4 linked regions of the Rhinolophus ferrumequinum genome follow. The protein of the gene in region 4 interacts with the protein of the main gene of each other region in a biochemical or structural test. Links are inferred from orthologs where the notes say so. Each region holds a gene or a part of one and is shown on either strand. Other genes may lie near its edges. The genes, in order: MAPK11, MAPK13, FOS and ATF2.

Region 1 (7,541 bases), on a different chromosome or scaffold from region 4:
GTCAGGAGGGCGACCCGGCCCAGGCCCGCCGGCGCGCCACCGCGGGGAGTCCCAGCTCACATTCTCGTGCTTCAGGTGTTTGAGCAGCCGCAGCTCCCGGTACGTCCTCCGAGCGTGGATCAGTGACTGGAAGGGGCGCGACAGCTTCTTCACCGCCACCTTCTGGCGCAGCCGCGCGTCGTAGGCCGAGCTGCAAGGGCGTGGGTGAGGCGGCCGGCGAGGGCCTTGCGCTCACAGACACCCCCCGCCGCCACTCCTCTGCGGGGATGGCACCGCTAACCCACCCCTGCTCGCCCGCCGCTTTCCTCCCTCGGCCCGTTTGCTCCAGAGGATCTCTCGGGGCTGTACCGCCATCCGTGTGCTGCCGCAGGGTCCCAGGGATGAGAATGTGACCTGCTCGGCCTCTGAGCCTCCTTCCTCAAGAGGCAACTCCCCCTCCACGGCACCCGTACACGCAGGCCTTCCCAGCCTGCCCACCAGAGAGCCCCAGAGCAGGACTGGATCTTTTGTCCCCTCACCCCCACGACTCTCACGCCCAACTCAGCGAGGCTGGGAGAGCAAAGTGTCCACTGACCAGGGTGGAAATAACACACCAGAAAAACAGCTACTGGCTATTCCCACAGCAAACAGTCCCCCTCCCCCATGGGCTGTGGGTCTGGAGGCTCCCTGAAGGTTTCAGAGCTGCCTCCAAAGCCTCTGGATACGCAAAATAGGGAGGAAAAACTGGCATTATTACTTGCAACAGTGAGCAACCCGACAGAAGGAAATGTCTAGCCGAAGGTGGTATTTGCATCCACAGATCTTCCGTGGCTCAACCCGTCCTCAGAGGTCCAGACCCTCCACCTGCACACCCATCTCCTCTTCATGGGGAGACACAACAGTCACTGGCATCACCCCCCCCCTTGACGCCCACTGTGCCCAGGACAGGGCCCTGCTGAAGGCGACTAGCTCCACAGGCCGCTCCCTCTAACTGCTGCGCCTCCCTGACTCTTCACCTCCTGCCTCAGGACCTTGCGGAGTCCACACAGTCCCACCAGCAGCTCCTGCAGAACCAGGTGGTGGGGGGAGGAGAAGCCAGGTAGGCTCCTGGAGCATCTGTGCCCCTCCTCCTAGCCTGTGACCTGCTGGGGAAGGTTCAAGTCACTCCTGGGGTGGGAAGTAGGGGTGGGCCCCTCAGGTGGGGCAGCAGATCCTTTGGCCTCATTGTGTCTGTGCAGTGGAACCACAGGGAGTTGGCCCTGGGGGGACAGCTTCATCAGAGGAACAAGGGAGCCCAGGAGAGGGCTGTCACCGGCACTGGGCCTCATCAAGCTAAGTGCAGTGGAGAGAGACCTGGGCCTCCCTTGGGAGCTTGACACTCAAGAGGAATTCCCAGAAGGTGACTCTGGGCCAGAGGCAATTCCAGCGAGGGCTCGGTCAGATTCCCCAGGGGCCATTCACACTTTGTCCCTGACCCTCTTGCCCTTGCCATCTTAGAGATAAGACAGAGGCTGTGGCTAAAATGGCCTGCCTGAGGCTCCTGACAGCGTTGACAGCGTGAGATCAGAGACCATGGGGAACCCAAACCCCTCCTCCAGAGTCCAACACTGGGTCTCAGGTTCGGGTCCACTGGAAATCCCATTCTTTACCTTCCAGATCCTGGAGCAATGCCAGCCCCTCGAGGGCCCCTGCCTCCTCACCGCATGACCCCTGCAGTGGACAGCAGTCACCTGCTACTGGCATGGGTAAGGACCCCACTGAGTGCTGAGGGGGACACCTCTCAACATCCACACCCACGATCAGCTTCACTTTTAACATTACAAGTGACGCCGGGACTGCCTGCAACCACCTCACTCACCCTAAGCCCCCTGAAGCTTCCCCACCCTCCAGGGTAAAAGACCTCAGCGCTCGAACCCTCCGTCTCCCTTCCAGGCTCTGTCCTCTCTCTGGGCCCCAGGACCTAACTGTGGGGCTGTGGTCTTGAGCTCTTTTGGTTGGGACAAAAACAGGGTGGGGTGTACCCCTAAGGATTGTAGGGGTAGTGGCAGACGTCTCTGCTCAGGCCTAAGCCCCATCCAGACTCTTTTGCAAGACTGGGGAAGGGGCAGGACCCACGGGAAAGCCTGAGGCCATCCTAAGGGGAGGGGTCTTGCCCTCTCCCTAGCTGGGCTCTTTTACAAACCAAAGTACCCGCCCTAGGGCGGGGGCATCTGCCAGATCTCTGGGCTGCCAGAGCCTAAACGGGGCGACCCAGATGCGTGCTCGGACGTCTATGGTCCAGGAGACCCGCCCTTTCGCCGGCTGTGACGCCGCAGGATTCTGGCCTGGTGGGGGTCACTCTGGCTCAGAAGGAGCGGGAGACGACCCCTCTTCCCCCCCCGGAGCCGCGTCTGGAAAGTTTCCTTCCCGTCTCCCACCCCCCATTCATTCCCCAGATCCGCGCAGGGCCTGGGGCGGAGGCAGGGCGAGGCCCCTCCCCACTCAGGGAACCCCCGCCGGGCGGGGAGAGGGTGGTGGCGCGCGCTCAGTCCCTCCCCTGCCCCCCCCGCCCCGCCCCTACCAGACGGAACCGTAGGCGCCCGAGCCCACCGGGCGCAGCCCCTGTAGCCGCTGCGGCACCTCCCACACGGTCTTGTTCAGCTCCTGCCGGTAGAAGCCTGCGCGCGGACCCGACATGTCCGTCCGCGCCCCCCGCCGCACCGGAGCGCGAGCCGAACGCACGGAGGGCGGTGCGCGGGGCGGGGCTTCGAGGGGGTTCCCGGAGACAAGGCGGCTTCCTGCCCCTCCGAGGCACTGCTGAGCGGAAACCGGCACTCCTCCCGTCTCCCTGGGGCGGTCCCGGGGAGGATGGGCCTCCGCCGGGGGGAGGGGGAGGCCAGGATCCGACTTACAGCCCCTCCCGCTTATACCTCCTGGGGTCCATGCACCTCTCCAAATACCCGCCCGGGAGCCGCTGATCCAGGCCGCCACCGCCTCGCACCGCGCTCGGCTTCCCGCACCCTTCCAGCCCACACCAGCGCCGGCACCTCCCTTCTCCCCACCTCGGGTCCTGCACCCCGTCCCTCCCTGCTCCGGTGCGACACTTACAACTACTCCCTTCGCCTGCTCGGGTCCACGCGTTCCCCCTCCCCACACACCTGCTGCCGGGCCCTGCACCCCCGCCACCAGCTGCTTCCTCAGAAATGAAGTAGAACACTCAAAATCAAAGAAGCCAGGGCGAACCCTGGGAGACATTTCTCATCAACATAGAAAACACCGCCTAATAACAGCGAGGCACTGGGTTGAATCCGCCCCTCTGCGGTGGGCAGATGGCGCCTCGGTTCCTGGGCCAGCCTGGCCCCTCCCCGTGGAGGCCATTCTGGCTTGGGCGGTGAGGCTTGCCTCCGGGCAGACCTTCCTCTGACGTCGGCCGCCCAGCGCCTCTAGGGGAAACTGCGAGGCCTGTCAGGACCAGGGACAGCGGCGGCGCCCGGGGACCCTCCAGGGTGTTGTCCCCATAAGAAGCTTTCCCCAAATGGGTCTTCTTTGGTGCCTGGTACCTTTCCTCCTTCTGAAACAGCCCCGTCAACTGTCACCTCTTCCAGGAAGCCCACTTTGACTTTCCCAGGTATCGGGGAGCCCCTGTAGTTGGCAACCAACTGCAGTTCCCAGGGGCTGCGAACTCCTGCAACGCACTTTGCTTGAACGGTTCAGTTCTCACAGGCTAATAGGGTGCTCCCCTGTGCCAGCAGGATAGTCTCGCTCTCTGCCCAGCGCTCTGGGCCGGCGCATCTGCTTGTCTTTCCCCCTCCAGTGACTAGGGCTCGGAGGAAAGGACTCCCCTTGGATAAACGCCTCCTGACCCCCGCCCAGGCAGTGGCTGGGCTGCCCTTCCCAGGAAAGCCGGAAATTAGGCTCCTGAGTTGGGCAACCTTCTGCTTTTTCGAAACAAACTAAAACCTGAGTGTTGTTGTTTTAAGGAGGGCGCAGCTCACACTGGCCCATACGGGGATCGAACCGGCAACCTGGGTGTTATCAGCACCTCGCTCTAACTAACTGAGCTAACTGGCCACCCCAGTTATGGAACTCTCCTGATTTTTAAATATTGGCAACCAAATGAAAATAAAATACGTCAACGCAGAACCGGGCAAACAGACATGTCTGCTGGCGAATCCGGACTCCGGGGATTCGAGAAGTGAGAAAGGAAACGGTTTGAGTCCCAGCCACGCCCGCCACCCGAGCCACCGGCCCTCACTTCCCCCCCCCCCCCCCCCCGGGAGGCGGTATCCCTCCCCTCGCCACCCGCTCCGGGCCTCCTCCAGGGCCCCGCCCTGGGCTCCTTTCTCCGGTGGCCGAGGTTTTGTGCGGAGTTAATGGGGCTTCAGCTAAAGCCGAGGGCTGGGCGGGAGCTGAGCCGGGCTGTGGGAACCGGGCTGTGGGGCCCCGGGAAGGCCTGGCCTTTGTCTGCGCGGACCCGCGGGCTAGAGCGAATTCCCATGGCGACCGGCCGGGTCGCTGCGCGGAAGCTGGGCAACCCCGTGCTCTCCCCAGGGGTGGGGGAGTCCGCCTGCTCAAGGAAGCCCATGCCGGACCTTGCCCACCGCTCCCCCGGAATCCCGGTGGTGAGTGGTCAGAGCTGACCAGAGAGGAGCGGCTTCCCTGCCGGGCTCAGTGGATCATGCAGAGTGGGGACACTCACTGAGCAGCCCCACCACGTTGTCTTCTGGGGAGGGTCCGGGTTGTAACACTGCAGGGGAACGGCTAGGGAGAGTTTCCGGTGGGGGTGACGGCAGGCAGAGTAGGGCAGGTCGGGAAACCCGCTGGAGAGGGGACACTAGCAGAGCTGGGCCCGGCATCAAGAGAGCCCTGACTCTCAAGGACTTAAGGAACAGAAAGATGGGTGGCCCTGGGCAGAGGCCTGTGGCAGGCTGGTGGGGGAGGAGCACAGCCCGGATTTCCGACTTTTGACATCAGGGTGATGGGAAGTCTGCTGCATATTTTCCTAGCATCCCCCAGGCCACCACGTCAAGGTTGCCACCTCTGGGTGAGAGCACTGGACCTGGAGCAGCGGGTGGTGTGGGGCTGGGACAGCAGCTGGGAATGTGGTAAGATGGGGTGTGTTCACCTGGGGGACAGGGGGCTGAACAGAAGGGCCGCCTACCCAGGCCTGGCCTGTTCTCTCCACCCTGTGACTCATTGTCACCCCTAAATATCTAGAGCCCAGCTCTTCTCTCCACGTCCACTCATCCCTCCTCTGGTCCAGGCCACCGCCTTTTCAGCCCCTTGCTGGGCTAGCTGCACTTCTCCCAGAGGTCACAATAAACTTCTTAAAATGCCATTCTGGCTGGGGTGGGGGGGTAGGGTTCGGGCTCTTAAGCCAGGGGGTGGTGCCTGCAACTTGGAAGTAAAAGTCCAGGGATTCCGGCGGCCCCCTCCCATCACTGTCTCTCCCCACTCCCTCTACCTTGGAGAAAATGTAAGTGGAAAGCAAGAGGTCTGTCAGCATCCTGACCACTCAAGGCTGGCCTGCCCTTCCCATGCACCCCAACATCCAAGCCCGGTATCTACCCTTCACCAGCCCCACGGAAGGCCGGCCCTGGAGCATTCACACTCCTGTCCTCCAAGGCGGGCACCCCACCTGATGGACCTGCGGCCCTTCCCCTATCTCCACGCTTCAGAGCGGAAGAGGGTCTCACTGACTTCCTCATCTTCTTGCCTGGTTGTTGGGAGTGTGGAGGGTGGGAGGGCAGAAGTGGCCCACACAGGTCCAGTCTAAAAGCCAGGCCTCAATGCCCCCTGCCAGGCTCAGCACTTCCTCCTAACTCTGATTTAGCAGTAACTTGTTCAGATTTCCTGACTAGCTGTGACTCTGGGAAGCGGGGAGCCTAGTGTGCCCATAGCAGTGTCATTTCAGGGGTCCCTGGGCAGGGGCTGTCAGTTGTTTGCCTAGTACCCCTTCCTTGTGGGAGATACCCACCCTCGTTCCATGGGGCTTGAACGGGGCGCCCCCATGCATAGTGGCTCATGGTCAAGTCCTAGCCCAATGGGAGTCTCCAGTTATGTGCCCCGAGGGGAAGAGTCACAGGCTGGGGCTGCCTGCCACCAGCATCTCTGCTGCCCAAGGATAAACCCACATGAATTGGGAAGCAGTTCAGATGGCTGGGACCCAGACATGTGAGCACCTGGATCCAGCCATACCTGCAGCTGCACCACCTCCACTTCCTCATTCTGGAGCCGCCAAATCCCCTTTCTGCGTAGGCTGGTACTCTTGGGGCACAGGGGCTCCCCCAGAGCTGGCTGTGTCTGTCCCATTTACTGCTGTGTCCCTAGTGCCCAGGACAGTGCATGCAGCCTAAGGGGATGGACGCACAGATGCTGTGCACTCACCTGCACACACACGTGCCTGGTGGCTGCAGGTGGCACAGCTCAGAGGCCCTGCCCTGTGCAGGACATGACTGGGAGCTCCCCCGACTCTGGCATCAGCAAAGGTGCCAATTGCTCTCCCACACAGGGCCCTTGAGCCCTACTGATGCCCTGAGTCATCCTGGGTGGTTCAGGGGACAGAGGAGAAAACCCCCTAATGGCCCCACTGCCTCAAACAGGGGGACACCGGGCTGTCTACCCCAGAGCCAGCCGTGTCTGGTGGGGTCTGCATACAGTAAGGTAAGGGCTTACTAAATGTGTACTGGGGGGACCCTCACCTCAGAAAGAAACAGTCCCCGAGAACTCAAGGTCCAGATGGTAGGCTGATACCATGCCCACCCCTAGCCCCATGGCTCCTAGTGGCCCAGCCCAAAGGGGGTTGGGGGATGTGTTGGCCACCAGAAGGTGTCCGGCCAGCCCAATCCCCCAACTTCCTTGCCTGGTAGGGCTGCCTCCTTGTACCTCTCTGGAACCACAGTCCTTTCTGGGATCTCTTTTGGGCCTGAGCTGCCCCCAGCCCCTCCCATACCCGAGGCTTCATCTGCCAACACTTGACCATCCTGGTCTCTGGGGCGGCAGAGCAGGGAAGGTGTGGACTCAGTCAGCTGGTGGGCATTAGCCTCTGCACAACCCCCAGGCCTGGCCCAGAGTAGTCAGGGAGGTGGGCGGTGTGAAGCCCACAGGCTCACCTGAGGGTGGGATCCTAGGGCCAAACAGGGCCTGGGAGGGAGGCTGTGAGCAGGACAGCATGTCGGACTGCCCCAGGAGGAACCCAGCCAACCAACCAAGTTAAAAACACAGTTGTATTTGATTTATAATTAACACGATTTACAAAAAGAGTGGGGATGGTCCTGGGTAGAGCTGCTCCTGGTCCCCGAGACCGGGGCAGGGCCCCCAGGACAGCCTGTCTGACAGGCCGAGGCCAGGACTCCCAGTAGGCTGGGTCCCCGCTGGCCGCCTGGGCCTCGACGTCTGACGTCCGGCTTGACCTTTGAGGTGGGGCCCTCAGCACGAGTCCACCGGGAATGCCGGTGTCCGGCAGGGCAGGCCAGGTGAGGTCAGGAAGGCATCGTACCGCTTTTCTCCTCCCGCCCAGGCAGGGCGGGCAGACAGTCGGGGCATAAGGCCCTGGGGCTGCAGGCACTCAGACCCCACCTGGA
Region 2 (7,909 bases), on a different chromosome or scaffold from region 4:
GGTCCTGGGTTCAGGCTAGGAAGAGCCCCAAGGTCCAGACCCACACCTGGGCCCCAAGGGAATGGTGAAGTGAGTTGGTGCAAACCCTGGGAGGATCGGTCATGATGTTCTGGTGATGTTAAAGCTGGGTAACACACAAAGCACCTCCCGTGTCTCCCCGAAAATAAGACCTAGCCGGCCAATCAGCTCTAATGTGTCTCTTGGAGCAAAAATTAATATAAGATCGGGTCTTATTTTACTATAAGACCCGGTATAATATAATATAATATAACATAATACTGGGTCTTATATTTATTTTTGCTCCAAAAGAGCTGATTTTGGGGGAAACAGGGTATGTAGCAGACAGCTCCATGCTGGGCAAGAACCCCACAGAGCCCCTCCCACCTCTTCCTGCCTGCCCTTCTCCGTACCCTTGGCTGAAAGTATCTCTCCAGAGAGAATCACACCTCAACAACAGCACAAGGATTGCCAGGGCAGGAAGCCCCCGCCCCAGAAGAGAGAATCTGGACCCTCCCCAAGCTGGCTCCAGAGTGATGCGTAAGGCCTGCAATACCCTGGAACCCAGTGCAGCCCAACTCACAAGTCCTGGAAGCTGCGCAGGGAGGAAGCTGGGGTGAAGACGTCCAGGAGCCCGATGACCTGGGGAGAAGATTGCCAGTGAGGGCTGAGCAGCCCCCTCCACGCCCAGCCATACACAGGACCACCCACCCTTTGCTAAGACATCATCTCCAGCAGGAGGCAGGTTCCCAGCCTTCTTGGAAGCAGTAAAGGGGCAGCAGCCGGAGAGGAATCCCAATTGGAAGGGAGCTTTCAGTGCTCAGTGGGGAATCATGCTGGGTAGAAGCGGAGGTGTGCTCACTGCCTCCAAGTCTGGTGTTCACGGCAAACAGCACAAACCCACTCTCAACTCAAGCAGGGACTCACGAGTGGTGAAGAGAATCAAGGAGGGAACAGGGGATGGGCCTGCCAGCTAGCAGGCTCCATGCCTTTGACCTTGGGTCTCCCATCACATCCATTCTTGCCTGCCAGAGGGCTGGTTCAGAGCCAGAGGCAAGAGGCCATGGGGAGGGTTGCTGAAGAGGAATGGGGCTTAAAATGTGCATTAAAAATTTGAAACATTATTTTAAATGTTTGCTTTCCAATCTAGGTATTCTAGAGCAAAACCTGCTTGCCAGGTGCAACACTGGGTCACTAGTTTTCCTAGTTGTTTCTATCAGATATCACAGTCTAATAGTTATGCACTGAGGCCTGGGCCCAGGCCCCCTAGGTTCAAGTCCCAACTCTGCCACTGACTAACCATATAACTTATGGGTCTTTTTATGCCTCAGTTTCCCTATCTGTACATGGAAGTAATAGTACTTGTGATACTGTGAGGATTAAACAAGTTAGTTTATGCAAAGCTCTTAGAACAGTACCTGGTGCATAAAAAGGGCTCAATAAGTATCTATGATTATTATTATTATTATCAGGGTCACATGTGGAAACATTAACCTAGATTCTGGGCCCTAGCTCTTAGATCTAGAACAAACTACAAAGTTCCTCTGTGTCCATTTCCTCCTAACAGTGAGATAGGAAGTTTGCACCTCACCAAGCTCATTCTGATCTACTACCAACATACCCTTTGCACCCTTTCTGGGAAGTAAGCAGGGCAGGTCCTGCACCCCATCTTAGTAATGAGGCGGGAACAAGAGTTGGAGGAGCAGGGAGGTGGTTCCCCTTCTCCTGGACCTGTCCTGAGCGCTCTGTACCCTCTGGAGCCATCTCCTGTGCACACACGGGGCCCGTCAGGACCCTGTCTGGGCTTCCCCTCTCCTCCCTGCCTTCCCCAGCAGCCCCAGACCCAGCCTACATTCTCATGCTGCATGTGTTTCAGCAGCAGCAGCTCTCGATAGGCCCGCCTGGCAACGATCTCAGACTGGAAGGGCCGGCTAAGCTTCTTGATGGCCACCTTCTCCCCGGACCGCTTGTCGATGGCGGAGCTGGAGAGGCATAGGCACGTCAGCAGGCAGCACTCTCCTGGCCGGGAAGTGCCCACTCCAGGTCCTGGGTGGTGTCTGCCAGGCCATCCTCACCCAAATCCCCCTTGGCCAGCAGGCTAGGCAGGGAGAAACGGGCGCCCACTGCCTGAAATGTGAGGGCGCAGCCAGAAGCACTGGGAGTGGGGCTGCGGGAGAGAGCAGGCCGGCACAGAGGTGCACCGCTCCTGCGTCAGACACAAGTTCAAGACACCAGAATCCAGAGCCCCAGGGACGCTCACTCTGCAACGGGGAAGACACTTCTCCCTCTCTGGGTCTCAGTGCACCCGTCTGTAACAATGGGTATTCTTCCGGAAGAGCTTCAGGGTCCCTGTAAGGTTCAAGTCCTGGAGAACCAGACCCGTCCTAATTCAACCCACAGGGACCCCACAAAGCCAGTGAGGAAAGTGAGATGGCGCCTGGGGTGGCCTCAGGCCAGCCTCTACCACAGCCTGAGGCTTCTCACTCATACTGTACTTTGCAGCCCAATCTGCTATCTCCTCCTAGCTCCACAGGTTGGGCCGAAGAAAAGCCCCTGGGAGGGTCTTCCAAGCCCGTGGGGTCCTCGGTCAAGGTGGTGAGCGCGCGGCCCCGGGCACCCAACAGGGGAGGGGACACCCACAGCGGGTCCGGGAGAGCGGAGGAGGTGCATTGGCCCGGCCCCCGCCTGTCGGGAGGCTCCACCTGTGTCCTGGGGCCTGGGCGCCCGCCGTCTGTCCGCCCGGACGCCCGGCTCCCCTCCCCACCCCGGTGGGCTCGCGGGCCCGGGGGTCTCACCATACGGTGCCATAGGCCCCACTGCCGACGTGCGTGGGGGACACGTAGGTCTTGGGCAGCTCCCAGGCGGTCCTGTTGACGTCCTGCTTGTAGAAGCCCTTTTTCCGGGGGAGGCTCATTCCGCGAACCCAATCTCGGTTGTCCCAGCGCGGCGGCTGCGTTCCAGGTCCGCCGGGCTCCCAGCACCCGGGCCCGCCCGCTGTCGGGTCCGCGCCCGCCCCGTGCCGGTGGCTCCTCCCCCGCGCGAGGGCGGGGCCGGCCCGCAGCGCGTCCCACCTGCCGGCTCGCCCAGGTGCGCCGCGCGGCCCCGCCCGGGCCTGCCTAGACAGTCTGTGCCCCGAGCCTCGGGTTTCCGCCAGGATCGCTGCCGGGCTAAAGTGGCTGCAGGTGCGCTGCCCTGCAGGAAGGGGTGCTTCCCGGCCGAGGGCTGGCGTGGGGGCTGAGGCTTGATAGACCGAGGGGCTCCCGCGAAGGGCGGCGGGTGGGGAGACAGGGCCTCTCCGCTCTCTGCAGCCCGGGACTCTGCAGGAAGATCTCTCCAGGATATTGAAGACAATTTCGGAAAAACAAAACCCCACAACATTTGATTATGGAAAGTTTCCAACATATACAAAAGTAGACAAAATGCCCAATGCTTCCCACACTTGACTGTGCACACGAATCCCCTGGGAATTTTATTTTAGTAAAATAGAGATTCTGAGTCAGTCGGCCGAGGTGGAGCCAAAGTTCTGCATTTCTAACCGGGTCCCAGGCTCAGAGGGCCTGTGGACCACACTCTGATGGTGGGGTTCTAGTGAACCTCCGTGACCCCAATCTCTCATCTTCAACGATTATATCAATTCTTAGTCACTTTTATTCCATCTACATCCCTCTTCCCCCATTATTTTGAAGCAAAACCAGGCGTCATATTTCATCCATAAATATTTTTCCTATCTCTGGAAGATAAAGGTTATTTTAAAAACATAACCACAAGATCATTTTTACACCCAGAATTAGTAACAGTAATTCTCCAGTCCAGGTTCAAATTTTCAGTTTTGAACACAGTTTTTGCTAGCTTCCCAGGGTCCCAGAGGCAGTGACAAGCCAGGGCCTTCTACCACCTGTGTCTGGTGGCTTGTGTAGCCTGAAGAAAATTCTGTGCTCAAGTGAAAACACAGAGGCCTCCTAGGAACAGGGTGGGGATCAGAGAATGGCCACAGAGGTCCAATGTCCAGCCTGACTTGTCCAACCCCTAGCTGGCCTGGGCAGAGGGTTGTAGAAGGAGTAGGGACCACTTGCTTCACCTTGTCAAACAGAGAGAAGATGTCTTGAAGAAGAAAAGGAACTCATTCATGGCCTACATCAAGCTGGGGGGCCTCACTAGGGTGTCAACAGGCCTCAAACCCTGTGCCATAGCCCCTCCCACCCAGTCCTTCAGCATGAGACACAGCTGAGAAGACCATTTGGGGGTGGGGTGGGGGGTAAGGATCCCACAGAAATGCCCAACAGGCATTGCAGGCAGGGAATCAGTCTTATTCATAGCTGGCACACTGTAGGATATCAAAGACTGTATGGAGAATAAATGGAAGAGTCAGCACTTTAGAAGTGAAAAAATATTTAGTTAATGAACACTAGTGCTTGCCATGTGCCAGTCATGTGTTTTACTTATACAACTCCCTTAATCCTGGTGAGATGCCGATGAGTCAGTACTATTATCCTCATTTTAGAGATGAGGAACCTGAAGTACAGAGAGGTTAAGTAACTTGCTGAAGGTCACACAGCTAGTAAGGGGCAGAGCTGGGTTGAAGAAGCTAGTACAACCTGGCTCTAGAGTCCATGATCTCAGCCCTGAGGCTATGCAGTGTCTCTGGGTTGTGAGGCATTGCTCCCTAAAGGAAATGGCCTGCATTTGAAATCATCTGCCTCACCTACATCATGAGGACATGTCTACTTCTCAAACTATGTCTCTCTCAGTACATCCTGCCCAGGGTATCTGACATACTGCTCACCCTCTTCCCTGCCCCACCCCCAACTCTGGCCCTGAGACCCTGTTGGAGGAAAAGGGCAGGGGCTAGGTGCCTGGGAGGGCTGTGGAAGTTTCCAACCTTTGGGGCTGGTGACACTGGTGGACGGCACCCTATTTCTGAAGTTGGGGTAGCGTCCTGGAAGCCAGAGTTCAGAACTGGGCACTGGCAAGACAGAATTGTCCAGGAGACTTAGGTTTCCTTCTGGGTGAGGATCCAATTCTCCAGGGCCTTGAGACTCTGTTGTGTGTCTAGAACACCTAAGTGTGGCAGAGGTGAACCCCAAAAGGTGAGGAGTACCAGGGAAACACTCATTGCCCAAGTGGGTGCAATCCTGCAACGGCACGAGCTGACCAGTCAGACTTTGGCTTTGGTGCCTCTTAGGCAACGGTCAGGAAGTGACTCAGGCCTCAGGCTCTGCTGACACTGACCCCCACCTCGGGCCTCTGCTGGGCCTGTGTTTACTCAGTAGCAAGGCAGCCTTGGAGAGAAGGATCTAGCTAAGGAAGTCACAAATGGGAGAGGAAGAGGGGAGAGTCCCTTAGGATGCCCTGGGAGCTCCCCTCCCAGAGCCCCTGGGGCTCTTTTCTCCTTGAGCTCCAAGGTCCCTCTGCTCTGTTCCCCCAGACACTGGCCTATGTTGTAGTGTTGGTTTCTGCCCTATTAACGCAGAGGTAGCGGGTAGGAAACTAACTCTGGAAGGAGACCTGATTTCCATCCCGGTTCTGCACTACCAGCTGTGTGACCTGGGACAAGTTCCTTCCCCTCTCTGAGCTTCAGTGTCCTCCTTATAAAGTGGAAATGATATTAAAGCATGACAAGTATATTGAAAGAGTCCTGGGGATGCAGTATAACAGCAACTCAGTGAGGTAGGGACTGGCAACGCCTCCCGCCAAGCATCACCAGAAACACATCTGTGGGTGGACGAGCTGGGTTTATGGCTCATTGCAGCAAGAGCACACATGCGCCATGGGAATCATAAGGCATCTCAGTAAGAAGGTGTTAAAAAGGACTTACAAGTTTTGGCCTTGTGTTAGGCGATGGTGGAGGGTTTAAGGAAGAAGGACTTTGTTCTGATTAGGAGCTGTTAGGAAGAGGAAGTGATTCTATGATGGGTATCTTAATAAATCTTACCTAGAAGGAGGGCCAACTAGAATGGAGACAGAGCTGTGAGCAGCCTTCACTCAGATTAGCTAGACTGGGGATGTTTGGTCATTTTCGTGGTTTGAACAATATTCATGTTTCGTCTGCATTCAGACATGATTCCGGAGTGGTCTTGTTTTTGTCTTGATCCATTGTGGTCACAGATGGCCTGTCTGTGTGCAACAAGAGCACACCCCGACCAAGCTGTGCCAGGCCAGCTCCAAGCCACACGGAACGGGCAGCTCCTAGATGTCAAGGCTGCTTTGCTGTTAGGATACTATTATTTCCCTGGCACAGATGGAGAAACCGAGGCCCAGAGGTGTTCAGTAACGTCACACATGACGAACAAGATTGTGGACGTGGTCTTCAAATGTGGTGTTCTGCTCCAGAGTCTGCACATTTAACAACCAATGAAACCGCCTGGCGCCCGGCAAATGTCTGAGAAATGGCTGTTATCGTAGTGTTGTCTTCCGAGGGAGGCTGTGAGCCTCTGGAGGGCAGGGGCATGGCTTTGGGGATTGATGACTGGCTTCTTAGAAACTGAAACAAGACCCCCACATGATTATGAGGCTGGCTGCTCATGTCTCCCATCTTGGCCACCCCGTTTCCATCTTACCTCAAGAATATGGCAGCGTGTCAAACACTACAGCCCTCTCTGTCCCAAGCAGTTGGGCCAGCAATTCAGATCCTCACCATGAGTGGCCATATGACCCCTACAAACAGGAATCATGACATGCCTGGGGTCCTTGTGGGAATGAAAGAGCCCGAGAGCTCCAGCCCCAACTCGGAGATTCCCACCCTCCTTCACACCTTTCAAAACTCCACGAAATAATCAAAGTCTCAATGAGGTAAGGAGAGGCAGAGGGGAAGACCTTGCACGTGGGGGCTGCTCTGTAACTTGTTAAGTCAGTTAGCTAGCCTCAGATGAGTTACTTAGCCTCTCTAAGCCTCAGTTTCCTCACCTGTAAAACAGGAGTGGATAATTCTACCCACTTCATGGGGCCATCAGGAGGACTAAAAGAAATGACGTGAGAAGTGTCTGATTCATGCCTGGCACTTAGTAGGTGGTCACGAGGTGCCCCTTCCCCACTGTTATCGAGCTTTGCCTCCCCAGCCCCGGTGTGTTTCAGGGAAGGTCTGTCTGAGGAGGAAACTTTTGAGCAACACCTGAATGGACCAAGTAGTGAGCTGTGCAGATCTCTGGGGGAGGACCAGACTTTTCCACTCTGTTCCCACATATGACCCTTCCCTCCAGCCTCCTTCTTCCTGTGCCATCCTTCCCCCTCACCCGCAGAAGTCTCTGGTACGTCCCTCAGGGGACTCAGAACGCCTGGGAGCAGCTTACTGCCTTCTGGCTTCCTGGGCCACCTTTCCCCGGTACCTCTTCTCCTTCGAGGGGACTCAGGGCCTGAGCAGAACAAAATAACAGGCTCCTCCACCTCATAGGTGCCCCGCGCCTGTAGGAGTCTTTCTCGCAGCCTCCCAGCCCCTCTCTCCCTGCCCTCAGCTTTAGCACCTGCCTGGTGGAGGACAGCGCTTAGGGACAGCTGCACTAGAGGGGCACCTCTCAGCCGGCCTTGTCGGGCCCTAGCAGATAGACTTCCCCTCTTCACACCATATACCGCCGGGTCCTCACTCCCCTGCACTCCACCCCAAGACTCACGTCCTTTCAGCCAGCCTGCGGGACGGTCCCTTTCCACCACTGGAAAATGACTCGGGGAGGCCGAGGACAGTATCTTGGTCACTGCTGAGCCCCCGGTACACACTGGCCCACGGTAAGTGATGAATGAATCAAAGATTGCTGTGTGTCTTGTGAGTACAAGAGGCAGTGAGGGGATGTGTTTGGAGACCCAAATGGTGGCACTGAGAAAGCAATAGTAGGGGGAATATGCTTGAAATCGGGTCCACTGTGGAATGTCTGGGTCATGTGGTCTCTGGCTGGGCACAATTTGTCCTGGGAGTTTTGGGGCT
Region 3 (7,815 bases), on a different chromosome or scaffold from region 4:
TAAAATCAGCTGCACTAGATACAATTTGAGAATATCCAGCACCGGGTTAATTCCAATAATGAACCCAATAGATTAGTTAATGCTATGAGAAGACTAAAGAGAAAGAGAAAAGAGACACAGACCCAGGCCTGGCTCAACATGCTACTAACTACCAGCTCTCAGATGTATCACTGGGAACAATACACACTCCATGCGTTTTGCTACATCTCCGGAAGAGGTAAAGACTTGAGTCCACACGTGGATGCTTTCAAGTCCTTGAGGCCCACAGCCTGGTGTGTTTCACGCACAGATAAGGTCCTCCCTAGGTCTACAGGAATCCTCGAGGGAAGACGTGTTTCTCCTCTCTGTAATGCACCAACTCCGGCAGTGGCACTAGTACGTGCCTGCTGCCTCCCCTCTCTGCCTGCTCACAGGGCCAGCAGCGTGGGTGAGCTGAGTGAGTCAGAGGAGGGCTCGTTGCTGCTGCTGCCCTTGCGGTGGGCAGCCGCACAACTGGGGAAGGAGTCAGCCTCAGGGTAGGTGAAGACAAAGGAAGATGTGTAAGTAGTGCAGCTGGGAGTACAGGTGACCACGGGGGTGCACAGGGGCTCCAGCTCTGTGACCATGGGCCCCATCCCCAGGGAGCCACCATGCAGGGGCTCCCAGTCTGCTGCATAGAAGGAACCAGACAGGTCCATGTCTGGCACGGAGCGGGCGGTCTCAGAGCCGTTGGGCCTGGACGAGGCTGGGAACAGGAAGTCATCAAAGGGCTCGGCTTTCAGCTCCATGCTGCTGATGTTCTTGACAGGCTCCACTGAGGACTTGGGCTCAGGGTCATTGAGGAGGGGCAGGGCGAAGGCCTCCTCAGACTCGGGGGTGGCAGCCTCCGGCAGGCCCCCACTCAGATCAAGGGAAGCCACAGACATCTCTTCTGGGAAGCCCAGGTCATCAGGGATCTTGCAGGCAGGTCGGTGAGCTGCCAGGATGAACTCGAGTTTTTCCTTTTCCTTCAGCAGGTTGGCAATCTCAGTCTGCAAAGCAGATTTCTCATCTTCTAGTTGGTCTGTCTCCTGTATACAGAGGGATAAAGCAAAGCATAAGACACAGTATTGCTCAAGGACATTGCTCCCTTATGCCCAATCTCCAACTTTCCCCTTAAGTTTTAAAAAGAAGTGACCCAAGAAATCTACCTACCGCTTGCAGTGTGTCAGTCAGCTCCCTTCTCCGGTTCCGGCATTTGGCTGCAGCCATCTTATTCCTTTCCCTACGGATTCGCCTTTTCTCTTCTTCTTCTGGGGACAACTAGAAGAAAAAAAGTCCAACATTCAATAACAGTGTCTGCCATCAGCTCCATTCATCCACCCCAGCGAACTGACTCCTGCAGCTTCCTAGCTTCCTGGCACCTCTTCTGCGAGGCCATTTATTTCTATGTAACCTGCAGTTAGTTGCAGCCTGGGTGTGACTTGCATTTCAAATAAGATTCTCAGCAAGAGAATGAAGAAGAGCCTGGTGTAAAAGCATGAGCTAGAACCTCTTAGGGAAGAAACTATTAGGATATTCCTTGGGGTGGGACTATCAGAATCTGACTCGGCATAGAAATGGCTTGGAGCCAGAGTTCCCGGTTGGGAATGTGGAGTCAGTTCCATCAGTGCCTTCAACCTATCCACTGTGCTCCCCATCTCCACCAATGCTGACCCGGCTCCCTGTAGAGAGAAGGTGCGGATGAACTCCTCACCTGTTCCACCTTGCCCCTCCTGCCAATGCTCTGAGCTCTGCCTCCAGTCACGGTCTTCACAACTCCAGCCCTGGAGTAAGCCCCAGCTGAGGGGGTGGGAACTCCATAGGGGTGGGGGGCTCTGGTCTGGGATGGGGCCACGGAGGAAACCAGGGTGGGCTGCACCAGCCACTGCAGGTCCGGGCTAGTCGAGATGGCAGTCACAGTTGGGATGAAGTTGGCACTGGAGGCGGCCAGATCCGTGCAGAAGTCCTAGAACGAAACAGAAGGGGGAAGCTGATGTGAGTGAGCAGCCTCGGGACACAGGTGGCCGAGTTCCCAGGGCCGCATGCAGGAAGGAGAGAGGGAGTAGACACGGTCCTGCCAGGGGCTGCTCCTGTCTTTTTAAATGTCCCTCGTCCTGGATAAAAGATCTGCCCTTTTCCTCCAAGATTAGGCAGCGCAGAGCCTTTCTCCTCCATCCCGCTGCTGCGTTCCCGTTATCCCTTCAGCATCACTCGCTTGAAAGGGGGTTTGTTATAAATATCCCTGACGTCTGCGCTGACGCAGGCGCCGCTCCGGAGTCTCCTGAATGAACTCGCTTTTTATCAATGAAACTGCCTTACACACCCGCCTGCTTCGCCCTCCTCCCCCGCCCCTGCACCAGACTGCAACGGGAGGGGGGATTGCCGCTTTTGCCGCCTCCCGAGAGAAGCCAGGTTCCAGTTAGCATGTCTTTGCTTGGGACACGTTTGCCCCAGCTAGTGTCAGAGACCAGACAGAGAGCGCGGGCCGGGGGCAGCTCAGAATGAGCCTGCCGCGGGAAAGGAGAACCAATTGTTACTGACAAGCGTGTGTGAGCGCCCCACAAGTCCGGGACTCGCGAGTTAGGGCTGCTCCCTCCCCGCCAAAAGGGGTACCCGACTCGTCTTCCTGAGCTTCCCGCCCGATGCCTCCACCCCAGTGACCCCGAGCCCTGGGCTCGGTGAAGCCAGCCTTACCTGCGCATTGACAGGAGAGCCCATGCTGGAGAAGGAGTCGGCGGGTGAGTGGTAGTAGGAGAGACTGTCCCCAGCTGGGGAGGCGCTGCTGCAGCGGGAAGAGGCCGCGTCGTAGTCGGCGTTGAAGCTGGAGAACATCATGGTCGCGGTTAGTCACAGCCGGGCGAGGGGCTGAGGGAGGCAAGCAGGTAGGAGCCGTGGGGCAGAACTGGGTAGGAGCGCGGTCACTGCTCGCTCGCTGCGCCGCCGCCGCCGGCTCTATCTGCACTCCTCGGCTGCTCGCTGCAGATGCGGTTGGAGTACGAGGAGCCGCAGCCACCGCTTTTATAACAGCTTTTTGTGAATGAGCCCAATGACGTCACGGCGCAAACCATTGCTGCGCTGGAGGGGTGGCGCGCAAGTCTCGACACATCTGCGGCCTCCTTGCTGCCTCCGCCGCCCTCGCAGCCCCCAGTTCCCGTCTTGTTGTGTTTTTTTATCTTATGAACGTTTAGCATTGAGTCTTAGGGGTTTCGTGGACCCCCTAGGGTGAGGGACTGCGGGGATGGCTCCCCGCACGACCGCAGGGACCGGCCGTGGAAACCTGCTGACGCAGATGTCCTAATATGGACATCCTGTGAAAAGGGGGAAGGGATTGACGGGAACTGCGCTCCGGCTGCAGCCAACTCCGAGGGTGCAGCGTGGGGGGAGGCGGGGGCCGCGACCGGGGGAGGGGAGGCGGGAAAGGCTCAGAATGCGAGCGGACGTTAGCACCTGCTTCAATGCGGACCCTTGTTCCCGCGGTGAGGGGAGGGGGGCGGCGCCTTTTTACCAGTATGCAGAAACCAAGGAACAGTTCTGAGGCTCAGGTATTGGAGAAACAGGTAAACAGCCCCGAGGGCTTAAGCCTCGGCCCGCGAAGGAATGGGGACTCCTCCTCTATTCCCAATTCTAGCAAGTTCTGTGCAAACTGTGGAAGCAGACCTTCATCCCCTCGCCTCAAGCCCACGGGCTCCAGCAATACTAGGACTGTTACTGCGTGCGTTTGGAAGCTGAAAGTCGGGGTATCCGAAATAAGAGGATAACCGATTTTTATCTATTATGCTAGGTATTTTCATTTAATTTTATTTTTTGTTTTTAAGGAAAAGGGCGCATTTTCTTTCTCGGTCATATATGGAGACATCAGTGTTACTGTCAAACCCCTGAAGCACTAGCCAATAAACATTGTGCAGATCCTCCAAGCAAGGATGTCTGAAGGGTTCAATTGCCTGATTCTGAGCTGGGGCCCGGGGCGTGGGGTTGGGGTCGGGGATGTTATGTGGATAAGGTCGTCAGTTCCTGGTTTCAACTGGAGCGAGCTCTTGGGGGAGTGCAAGCCCAAGCTGGGGAAGTGGGGGCGATCCGGTCCCCCAGGAAGCTGGGCTTGCTGGGAGCCCGCAACGGGTGATTTTCCAGCCGGGACTTGAAGGGGGAGGGCCGGGGGCGCTGGAAGGACGGTGCCCAGTAGCGCCCAGGCTGGAGACCTCTGCTGCTGGGACCTCAGGCGCAGCTCTGTGGCCTGAAAAACGAGGCTCTGGAGCGACAAGGTGCTCGGGAGGGCGCTGCGCCCCCAGAAACCCCCCAAACTCCTGCCCGCTGCAAAGGACAGCCGGGGTCACACTACCCCGGCTCGGTCCCAGCACGCCGGCCACCTGCGGGGCACGAAGCCGCAGGTCCCCGCAGAGCCCTTGTGTCCCTTCTCCCCGACTCTTCGGGTCTGGGGGTCACGGTGAACACCTGGAGAGGGTCGAGGAATGATTAGGACACTGGGCGGATCCTTCGGGACGCACTGGGAGCGCGACCGCGACCTGCCTCCCGCCGCCGCACCCGGGAGCCAGGCGATCCAGCTATAGATAGTAACAGGGAAGCGGCTGTTTACAGCAACACAGCGCCGCCAGGGCCGTCTCCAGGCGACGCCGCGCGGCCGGGCGCGCCGTCCGCCTGGCGAGGCCGCCCTCCCTCCTCGCTCCCCCAGGGCCTCGGCCTCCCTGGCCCGGCCCGGCTGCGGCCACTCCTGTCGCCTGACATCATCCACGGGGTCCGCGGGCTGAATGCGGCTCGCGCGCGACTGTGCGCTAACCTCCATTCTTAGAGATGCGAACCCCGCGGGAGCAGGGAGGGCAGGGAGGCGGGGATTCGTGGAACTGGGCCACTTGCTATTTTTGCATTCCCTGTCACAGGCAGAGATGAAAACAAAATTTCATCATTGTATGTCACTGGTTTATGTCGGTGAGAATTTAGGCGCTTTTTTTCCCCCCCCGTCTCTTAAAAAAGGGGAGAGGAAGGAAAAACACATAATACATAAATACAGACTACTCAGAGCTACTCTGAATCCTAAAGCAATTTTCCTAATTCTATCATCGGTCAGGCTACTTCATTATCTTTGATTATTTAATTTAAAAAAAAGTCTATGAAGGCAAATCCATCTCTCTCATTATTAGCTTCGGACAAAGTAGGTCAGGCTGTGAATTCCTGGGTCTAGTCTTGCATTCCATTCATAACTGTGTCTCCAGCCTCTTAAGAGAAAACCTAGAATAATTTCATTTACTTCCCCTTCAGAGTCTTGAATCAGCTTTGGCCAACATCTAAAGGTTGTATCAAGATTTTATATGCAGGATTTATCTCATACCTAACTTATCCTGCCTATGCCAATAAAAAGGGCAAATGGGCTTTGGATGAACCTGTCTCCTCCAGATAGCTTAACTCTTTCCTTCCTGGCACCATTATGACCAGAGTTGGAGACTTAATCCATCCTCTGAAAAGGACCATGACTCCATCCATGAATTCATTTATTCTTTTATTTATTGAACAGAACACTTGAGAGCCTCGTGTGGTAGGGCATTGTGCTGGGGGCTGATGCTTACTAAAATAAACAAGGTGGACTTGTTCCTACCCTCATAGAGATTCCAGTCTCATGGAGAAGACTGACAAAGCAATAGAGAATTGCAGGGCAGCAGTTAAGTGGTTTGACAGAGGTAAGAACAGAGTGCCATGAAGAGGGTATGAAGACAGGTATCAGAGGAAGTGACTGCAATACAATTATGGGGCTTGGAACCACTGTCCTCTGGGAAACAACATGATAAAGATTGAAATGTCAGAGCATCATCTGGAGAAGCAAGTGCTCAACTCAAAGCAGTTCTATCAGATGATACAATCTCAGACTCACTTTCCTGCCCCACTAACATCTGAACCTGTGATCATTCTAACACACTCTCACATCTCAATCTGTTCATAGTATCCATTTCAGGACTGCAAAATCACATTTTTAATATGGAGTTCACATGACATAGCCTTAAAATAAAGAGAAATCAGAATCATCATTGAAATGATCTTTGCCATTTGCGAAGGTCAGGGTGACTTTGAGACAGATGTGTGCGTGCCTCTGAGTACCGCTTTGCCTTCCAGCGGGGCAGAGGTTCCACGTTCTGGACAAGCCTGAGCATCTCAAACCCAAACTTACGTTGTTTGTGATTATCTACGTGCTAAGTTCCTCCTATTTGGGGATCCAGAAGTGAAAAGGAGGGTAGAATCCCACATCTGATTTTAACCCAAATTGAAAACAAATTTATTTCTCCTCAGCAGTTGTTCCTTATCAGATAGAAACTTTTCCAATTTTGCACTTCTCTGGCATTTGAGTAAAGAGACCTGACCCACATCAAGCATTTGTTCAATAACTCTAGAAGTCAGTGTTTAGCCTGGTGCTATTGCAACATTAAGTGAAAGGCTGCTGTCTGAGCCACCTACGTAAATGCTGCCACGCACAACACGTCCCCAGCATGCAGAAGTAGTTATTTATTTGGGGAAGTGTGGTCTAGTGGTGAAGGATTGTGGTCGGAGCACGGGACCAGAAGTCAGGAAAATGCGTGTAGCAAAATCAACTCTTTCAGGGACTAGGGGAAGTCGCTTCTTAGACTTGTTTAGCATATACATACTTTTGGCCTTTGTCTTTTTCATATACTGTTATTCAATTAGCACCTAGCACAGTGCCTGGTGCATAGTAGGTATTCAATAAATATCTATTGAAGGGATGAATGCCCTATCCAAGCAAAGGAAATATATATTATTGTCCTTTTTGGGTACTTAGAAGTCAAATCGATAATGTTCGTTAAATCTTTGGAAAGGCTGAACAGGCTGAGTCTTTTATTCTTGGGTATGAATAGGCAAAATTTGGGAAAGAGAAAATAACAAGATGTTAGAGCTATTTTCAGCTGGTGCAGCCTCTGTGTATAAAGAACACCCCAGTGGTTCGTGATGGAACATCAAACTTGCCTTTGTTATTGAGCCCCACACATAAATGCCACATTGTCTGCAGTGACAATGACCGTGTTACCACCACCCTCTAATTTATTCATTCTTAATGTCTGGACCCAAAGAGGAGAAGCATTCCACAATTCCTGCAGGACTCACACACATGTGAGCCCAATTAAGGGTCTTATGGGTCAAGGTTACTCACTCTATGGCTCAGACAGAAACCAAAAAGACTGCCCCTATTTTAAAAGATTGGAGGCATAGGCGTAGCACCACCATCACCACCACCGCCACTAATTAGTAAGAGATTTAGTCTCTGAGAAAAACTGTTTTCATTCTGAACAACTTTTGGCTTTTTGACAGGAGATGATGATTCAATGGGATCCCCATCCTTCTGCTAAATGCCAGCATTTAAACAAAGAAGTGTGGTCCCTGGGACATGCTCCATCTGAAGCTGATGAAACTGGAGAACAGCTATGGTGCTTAAGAAGGACATATTTCAGCCCAAGCTTCACCATAGGAAACTCTCATTCTGTCCGTCATGCCAAACCTTGCTGCAAAAACAAGAGCTCCCCGTCAGCAGACAAGCAAGTCTTCTCCAGGCTGTCAGCAACTTGGATGAACTTCTGCAGCTCTGGTGGACTTAGCTGCTCTAATTCCAAAGGAACCCCATCTACGTCACTAAACCTATAGGACACCAACACACCCTGACTAGAAACTTCAACTGCAGGCCTCCCATCCAATGAGAAAAATCTCACAGTCAGCATGGGCAGGGCAGGGAATGGCTAAAATGGGCTGGCTCATGACGCACTCCAGGGTGTTAAGACATCTCAAGCATAGTTTACACCATTTCAT
Region 4 (7,832 bases):
ATACCAGTTTCAAGGTTAACAGAATAAATGAAAATAGTATATATAATATACAGAGGATGCCAAAAAAATGTATACAGAAAGGAAAAAACTGTACTAAAATTACACTGACGGTAACCACTTTGAGCACCTCTTGTAACTGCGGAAGTCAAATGTGACTTGTATTCATCTTTTGTTATCGGTATATATTGAGTATTACAATTTTAATACAGTATTTTTCTTTCTTAAAATGTGTATAATTTTTGGAACCCTCTGTATATGTATTTATAATTATTAATTATAACATATGACATATTTATAATAATATATGTAAAATAATTCCAATTATTGTTGGCCTTAAAGATCCACAAACTTTCTTAAATGCCCATGAAACTATACCTTATACTAACTTTTTAACCGTTAGCTCAAGAAAGAGAACAAAAGAAATAACATGTTTTGTGGTGTTTTTCCCTAGAAATAGGTAAATACTATCACTATTACCTCACCAATAAAAACTACATTAAGAGAACATGTAGCATCTTAGGTAAATTAGTTAGCCTCAAGGAATAGGTGTGAGTATAGGATAAACACAGAAATACTAAGTTAAACTACTGAGTATAGCAATGCAAATTTATAGCTTCTTTTTTTAAAGTACATTTTAATTACAGAGAATAGATAACAAGTACTACATGCATTGATTTCTATAAGGATGAACTGAATTTCCAATTGTTGTTATTGGGTTTTAAACGAGGTTTGATTATTTGCCTAAGCTGATACAGATAATAAGATCCAGAGTTGATCTAACATGATCTAACAATTTTAATACCAGCAGAGAACATATAAATCATTAAAACCCAACTTTTCCAAATTACAAAAATTTAGGTAGAAAAAATGTAATGATTTCTTGAGACGTAATACTAGTTACAAGTAGCAGACATTCGATGCATAGCATATAATTTTTTGATATTCATAGCTTCAAAATAGTGAATATCAAAAACAATCATCCCTGCATGTTATTTGTTAAAAGAGCTGACATAATAACCATTTCTACTTTTACCTTAGTTGAAAAATATGAAACAAAAACTCCAACTAAAAAAAGTAAATACAGGGATTTCTGGAATACATATTTAATAGAACAGAACATAGTGCCCCAAATATGAAATATTCTAATAAGGTATTTATAAAAGAACTTTCAGGAAATGCAATCAGATCTACAGAAGGCATTATGTACCTTAAAAACACACAAAAAAGTCCCTGAAAGCTCCTTTCTTACTGACAATTCAAACACAAACAACCAAATTCTAAATTACCACATTATATTTCAAATAATTTAAAACGTAATGGCAGTAGCATCTTCTCAAAGATTAAACATGTTTCAGGAAAGCAGCATACACACCACTGTAAATTTGCAAGATTCCTATAAATTACAAAGACTAGGATTGTTAATTGTTAATGATTGATGGCCTTAAAGATCTATGAACTTCCTTTATTCTGTTACTTGATCTTCAGAAAGACATCTTTTTTTATAATACATACTTTATATCAATATTCCTGCAATTTTGAAAAGTGTACAGTGGATTCCTCAAGTCAGTGTAGCAAATTGAATTAGGAGACATAACTGCTACTATATGTGTCATTAGGGCACTTAATCCTGTAGGGTTGACTTTTTAACAAGCTACTCACCTTCATAGCTTTGTTACAATGGACTAAGAATACATGGTTATTTAAAGATTATGCCTAGAAAGGCTATTACTGACAATGCCAGTGGTTATGAATTTCTTCACATAGGACAAAAAGTGTGCTCAGAGAACAGTTTTGTTCTGATTTCAAATACATACATTAAATTTATGCATTGTTACCGGTTCCATAATTTAAAATTCCTAAGAAATTGTAGCTTTCACATTATAATTTAGGGATTACTCAATAGGCCTAAGGTCCATCAGGAGTTATCACTTTTATGCCATCGTATTCACTGTAGTTTTGTTCTTGGCCTCACCAGTTTTAAGACTCCCCATTAAGCAAAGACAGTTTTATACTACCTAAGGGCACAAAAGTAGTCCCAGGTCTTTCACCCTCACCCGCCTTCCAGCGTCGGTTCAATGAGCGAACACAGAACTCTCTCTCTCTGGCCCTTCGGGCATTGATAAAAAGCACAGGTTATTTCCCACCAGCAGCTCTGCAGTGCACCCAAGGAGGTAAAATATGGGGGAAAACACAAGAATCAATCTGCACCCACACTCAGCCCCGCCCCAGCGGGAAAAAGTGGGGGGTGGCGGGGGCAGCAGGGACAGGAAAGGCCGAGACTTCCAAGTCCCAGGTTCTCCATACCATTTGTTCTATCGTTTCACCGCAGCCAGAGAGACCCTGACCCTATTTTCAGCCGCGCCTCCCTACCCACCTGCCCGCCACCATCACAAACACAGTCCCCAACCACTGAGTCCTGGGTGGGGAGACCAGAGCCAGCCCTCTTCCAGGGTAGAAGCGGTCTCCCCGAGCCCTGGGCGCATCCGACGTGTGGCCCAGGGCCCTCTAAACTGACCAGAGAAGATAAACCGGGGGGAGGGGTCTCAGAGCCGTTATTCCTTTTTCCTCTTCGTTAGGAAAGCGTGCGAGCGGGGAGGGGCCGGAACAACGAACACCGGTTACCTAACGGTCCGGCCCGGCCGGTCGGGCTCGGGCAGCAGACGCCGCGCGGCGGCCGAGGCGGCAGCACAGCCACAGTGGCCGGGAGGCTAGGAACCGAGGCAGGAGCGCCCGAGGTGATGGGGAGCGGGGGGTGGAGACTATGGTGAGCAACGTCGCCATGTTAGTGCCTTCTTTCTCCGTATCCCTACAGTGTCTAGTCCTGTGGCCCTCTCCCCATCATTACTCACCTTTCCAGGTCACTCATTCATGCTTCTTTCGGTCGCCAGCGAGGCCTGAGCTCAACCGTGTTTACAAACTACCCCTGGAGGAAAGGGCTGAACGGCACTTTAAAGGCCACGGGCTCCCACAGGCTTCCGTCCTCTCTCGCGAGATCGGATTGACAAGCCTTCTCCCCGCCCCACTCCCGGCATTCCCCCCCTTTCTTCTCGTGCCCCTCCCCTCCACGCTCACGCCCCTTCTTCTCTTCTTTCAGACCGAGCGCCTCGGGGTCAGGTGATGCCGTCAGACCTGAGGGGAAGGAGGCGGGACTTCAGGAAGGCGGGGATGGAGGAGGCGGAACCAAAGACACTCAGTAGCTGATGATTGGACAAAGCGCCCGGAGGGCGGGCAGCAGTTCTGGAGGGGGCGAGACCACAGAGCCAATGGAGGTGTCTCGGTAGCCCGGCCCTGCGGAAGCCTGTGATTGGCAGCCGGCTGGGTGTGGGACATTGGGGCAGGTGGAGGGTGAGGTCACGGGAAGAGTTTGACGGTGTGCAGAGAGGCAAGGTGAACTCTGGAAAGGCTGTGAGTGGCAGAGAGAGCGCGGGCTGAGTCCCCCGAGCCCAGCCCCGGGAGCCCGGTATTTCCGTTGCTGTCACTTCCTGGCCCTGGGTGGGAAGAAGGTAAAGCATAGGGAGGCGCGCGCCTAAACCCGTCTTCCGGTACCCTGAAGCCTGAGAGGGGGAGTCAGGATTACGCTGAGGTTTGGGAGGGGCGGAGTTTGCCGGGAAAAAACCCGCAAACCAGCTACAAGCTTGAAGCGGGAAAGCAAGTATGTCAGTTCTAGAAAGAAAAGAAAAAAACCTTTACTCTGAATGGCGTTCGAATTTCCCTAAGCTATAACTCTAGAAGTGATTCTTTCAGCTCCTAAGCACCTACAGCCTTTCCCTGAAAATAAGACCTAGCTGGACATTCAGCTCTAATGCGTCTTTTGGAGCAAAAATTAATATAAGACCGGGGTCTTATGTTAGATAGGACAGGGTCTTATGTTAGATAAGACTGGGTCACATAGTAAAATAAGACCGGGTTTTATATTAATTTTTGCTCCAAAAGACGCATTTAGAGCTGATTGTCCGGCTAGGTCTTATTTTCGGGGAAATGTGGTAGTAGTGTAGTGTATGTATGATGTTAGCATATAATTATGTTCGAAGTAATTTACCAAAAGGAAATAGAATGCCTTTTACTGTACCACTAATTTAAAACAGTGCAAGAACTTGTTTATAAGAAAAGTCTCCCATATTACGGTGTATCCCATTTTATTAATTTCCTTTACTTAGCAGATATAGATAAAATTTATCAATTTAGTAGAGATAATTTCAGATCTTTAAAACATCAACAACTCTATTTTAGAGAGACCCAAAGGACACCAAATTAGAATATGGCATAGAGATGGCACTCTTTCCACAATACTATCCCACTGCTTAATAGGTGGCTGCAATGCCAAAGAAATGTCTGTCAAGCTTTGAAAGTAGCTGTTTAAGAAGAGGAGAGGGGCAGATCACTTGATTAATTTAACGTGAGAGACAAAAGAGACCATATTTACTTCTCTGCCATCACTGTCACAGATAAACTCCTAAAAACACAGAAGTACAATGCTGAAAATATTTCTTAATGTTCTATGATTCTCTATACAACTTAAATATTTAAATGTTAACTTTAGGGATATTGATTGTTCAATAAATGCATACTGGCACAAATTGAAAAATATGACCAGGGCCCCTGTGAAATTTCCATTAACTACTTTTTAAAAAAGCAAGTTATTTTCACTTTCTTGTTTTCCATTGGTAGGTGCTGATTTCTAGTCTTCAAAAAAATTATGAGTAAATTTTAAGTATTAACATAAAATGCACTCACAAACATCTCTAAACCAAAGTGAAACCGAAATTGTTGGAAGATTGTGGGAGATAGTATTTGAGAGTTAATGAACCTGCAGTTCCGTAATGGTATTTGGCATAAAAGTGAAATTGTAACGGCACTGGGTCTTTAACAGGTTTCTGGCCTGTATACATGTACAAGAGCCAACTCACTTTTAAAACTAATTTCATTAAAAGAGACCAGAAAGAAGCCAGGTTATTAACACTGTTTACTTCTCAAATTAAATGAAAGTACCCTCCCTATATAGTAGCAATAACATTGTAGTAGAGTTAGTGTGTAGTGTAATACTGATGATGAACATCTAATGGACAAAATGTGCAACTAACAAATCACAACTTCTTACGTCTAGAATACATTATTACCTAATGTGTTGCTACTTCTCTCCATCTCCCAAATTGTCTAATGTGAGAAGAAAAAAACTATAAATGCTACGGCATTTTTTTTTTATGCTATGGCATTTTAAAAGAAGTTTGCATCGATTAGAGTAGTTTTTTAAACTATTATTTTTCATTCACATATCAAAAATTTGAAATTCTTTTCTCCAATTTTGATTTGTTTTCAGTTGACAGGTTCGGTTTTAAATTTTTCTTTGTCCCTATTTCTCCAGTCTAAGTAATTATCTACATAATGCACTAGAGCAGGGGTGTCCAAACTGTGGCCCGCAGGCCAACTGCAGCCCACGATCCATTTTTTATTGTCCCGCAGCAAATTCCAAAAATATGTTTAGTTTACTTAAATAAACCAGGTGAGGCAACACGTACTTCACCTCGAGTGAGTGGCCCGGCTGTTTGTGTATTTTACCGCATATGGCCCTGGGTGAAAAACGTTTAAAAAAGGTTGGATACCCCTGTACTAGAGGTACATGTTATTTTAAAGAAAGTCTTTCAGGAGTCCTCTTAGACAAGAGAAGAATCATTTAGTAATACAAATAGTACTCTTATTTGCTGTGAGAATGCCATTTTAAGCTAATTTTCTAAAGAGAAGGTATAAAGTGAGATAAAATTAAAGGAGATCAGGGAGAAAACGGGTGGGAAGGATGCAAATCTGTTCTGTATGCATGTTGACAGCCTGGCGGTTAGCAAAGGCTCTCACTTTACCAGCTCCACAGCAGTTCATTTACTATAGCTTTTCTATAAGTGGAGAACATTGGTGTAGACAAAATGAATATAATTATTTTTGGTTCTGGTCCTGTGAATGTGTAAGTCTCATATTTATCCATATCCTTATAAAATACTTTCTTTATATTTCAGTTTTTTTCACACTTCCTCATTCCTCAGTATTCCCCAAAAGCCCTAATGGTCTTTCCAATCTTTTCTTTACGAATGCAGGAAGCTTCTTCTGGACCCATTTTTTGCCTGCCTTATTATTCCATGCATGCGTCTACCCAGCTTACTCCTAGGAAAATTAGTAAGGATCTGGTAAACCTCCTTTAAGAACTCAGGATAAAACTGGCATCCTTTATTACAAGAACAGGTTATGAGAAGAAAACTTGTTTCTATTGCAAAATACCCATTACTAAATACCACACAAATAAAATAGTGGCCTCTAAATGCTCTCAAAACTTTCCAAGTGCTACATATGTGTATTTCCACCTCGTTTAGAAGTATTATGTGGTTGTTAAGCCATTTTATAGTATTGCTTATAAGAATTCTACTAAAACCTTGCTCAAATTAGATAGATAAGGAGGGAAGATTTAATTTATAAAACATAGCTTCTGTTTGTCTATAGCTAAACAAAACATAACATACTCCAGGATATCCCTTATATCTGCCTTGGACTCAGGGAAAGAGCCTCTGCATTTTCCCAGGTATCCACAAGACGCTGCCCAGGACAGTGCATTAGCTGGGATTTTGCCAGTGAACTCACTAGGGTGTGTGGTGTGTGATGTGTGTGTGTGTGTGTGTGTGTGTTACAAAAGGCGTGGAAGAAGCAGAGCATGATTATCCACCTACCTGATACCAGAGAGAGGAGGACAGCATGGCCTTAGACATTTTAGTTGATTTTTAGGGTAGCTTCTATCTCATGGCAGGTCTTCTTTCCCCATCTCTGACAGCCCAGGGTGCACGTTGCCGCAATGACCTGTTATAGTTACCTGCCAGGGCCTATCCTCACTATGGAAATGTCGATTCAGAACATTTCACTGCAGGGAGGACCATGTCCACCTCCCACCTCCAATCTTTGGTTTCTCAAAATAATGTATTTATTGTGTGTGGCATTGTGGGGAAATAAATGAGAGGGCTGTGTTTATCTTCAAATCATACCAATTAGTTTATACCAGCTTCAGTGAGACCAGCCCAAGGACAGAGAATGCAATTTAAGGGCCTTATTTTCATCTTTCATACCAATACCTTCAACCAATCTTTCATCCCACTCACTAGAAAGAAGGCTTTTCATTATATTCTGCTTTCCAATAAAAGTAGATAGAATCTCTCCTAGGGTAAATAATTTTGTCTGGCATTCCAGTATCTACCCTTCACGGCTAATCTGTTTGTCAACCTGAGGCCCACATAATACAAAAGCCATGAATTCCTAATGCCAGAAACCAAGGAGGATCTCGGCACGTGGACCCTTCTGGGCCTTTAGACTAATACCTTGCTCTTTCCAGTTACCTTCTTACCTTGGACACAGGCTTCTTGGGTTAACTGTCAACCGAATGCTCTATCTCTATAGTTCATTACTCATAAAGCTGAGATTTATTGAGCATGAAAATGTCAGGCACTGTTTCTGGCTCTGAGGCTACAACTATAAGCAAGACAAAGTCCCTAAAGGAGAATCTCATTGGAGAGAGGAGACACAATACATGTATAGACAGTGAGATAATTTAAAAAATGGCAAGTGCTATTCAGAAAATACAGCAAGGGTATGAAAACATGCAGTATTGTAAGCTTACTTCTTTTATATGACTTTAGAGGACTTGAGAGCTACAGACATTTTAGATACCTCGAGAGATGGATAAATGCTTTGAGCTCTCCTTTAGATACAAGTCTTGAGGGAACAATACTGAGCTGTCCAGGGACTGAAAGACTCAGCCAACCTATGTAGCTATTTGAGGAGGCAAACCTTGGGACTCTCCTATA

What was found.
Region 1: of the proteins of ATF2 (region 4) and MAPK11, one has a biochemical effect on the other in vitro, tested with the Homo sapiens proteins (4 studies listed by BioGRID and IntAct). The link is inferred for Rhinolophus ferrumequinum from reciprocal best matches to the Homo sapiens genes ATF2 and MAPK11.
Region 2: of the proteins of ATF2 (region 4) and MAPK13, one has a biochemical effect on the other in vitro, tested with the Homo sapiens proteins (2 studies listed by BioGRID and IntAct). The link is inferred for Rhinolophus ferrumequinum from reciprocal best matches to the Homo sapiens genes ATF2 and MAPK13.
Region 3: the proteins of ATF2 (region 4) and FOS form a complex in vitro, tested with the Homo sapiens proteins (3 studies listed by BioGRID and IntAct, with this or other methods). The link is inferred for Rhinolophus ferrumequinum from reciprocal best matches to the Homo sapiens genes ATF2 and FOS.

What each region holds. Positions count from the first base shown.
Region 1 is NC_046293.1:431,023-438,563, reverse strand, and holds the start of MAPK11 (mitogen-activated protein kinase 11), read right to left. Parts: upstream 3,011-7,541; 5' UTR 2,656-3,010; coding exon 2,540-2,655; intron 191-2,539; coding exon 61-190; intron 1-60. UniProt on the Homo sapiens protein: Serine/threonine kinase which acts as an essential component of the MAP kinase signal transduction pathway.
Region 2 is NC_046286.1:6,070,732-6,078,640, reverse strand, and holds the start of MAPK13 (mitogen-activated protein kinase 13), read right to left. Parts: upstream 3,008-7,909; 5' UTR 2,912-3,007; coding exon 2,793-2,911; intron 1,980-2,792; coding exon 1,850-1,979; intron 640-1,849; coding exon 581-639; intron 1-580. UniProt on the Homo sapiens protein: Serine/threonine kinase which acts as an essential component of the MAP kinase signal transduction pathway.
Region 3 is NC_046289.1:23,387,390-23,395,204, forward strand, and holds the start of FOS (protein c-Fos), read right to left. Parts: upstream 3,004-7,815; 5' UTR 2,836-3,003; coding exon 2,695-2,835; intron 1,967-2,694; coding exon 1,715-1,966; intron 1,282-1,714; coding exon 1,174-1,281; intron 1,050-1,173; coding exon 408-1,049; 3' UTR 1-407. UniProt on the Homo sapiens protein: Nuclear phosphoprotein which forms a tight but non-covalently linked complex with the JUN/AP-1 transcription factor. In the heterodimer, FOS and JUN/AP-1 basic regions each seems to interact with symmetrical DNA half sites.
Region 4 is NC_046291.1:50,154,246-50,162,077, reverse strand, and holds the start of ATF2 (cyclic AMP-dependent transcription factor ATF-2), read right to left. Parts: upstream 3,004-7,832; 5' UTR 2,850-3,003; intron 1-2,849. UniProt on the Homo sapiens protein: Transcriptional activator which regulates the transcription of various genes, including those involved in anti-apoptosis, cell growth, and DNA damage response.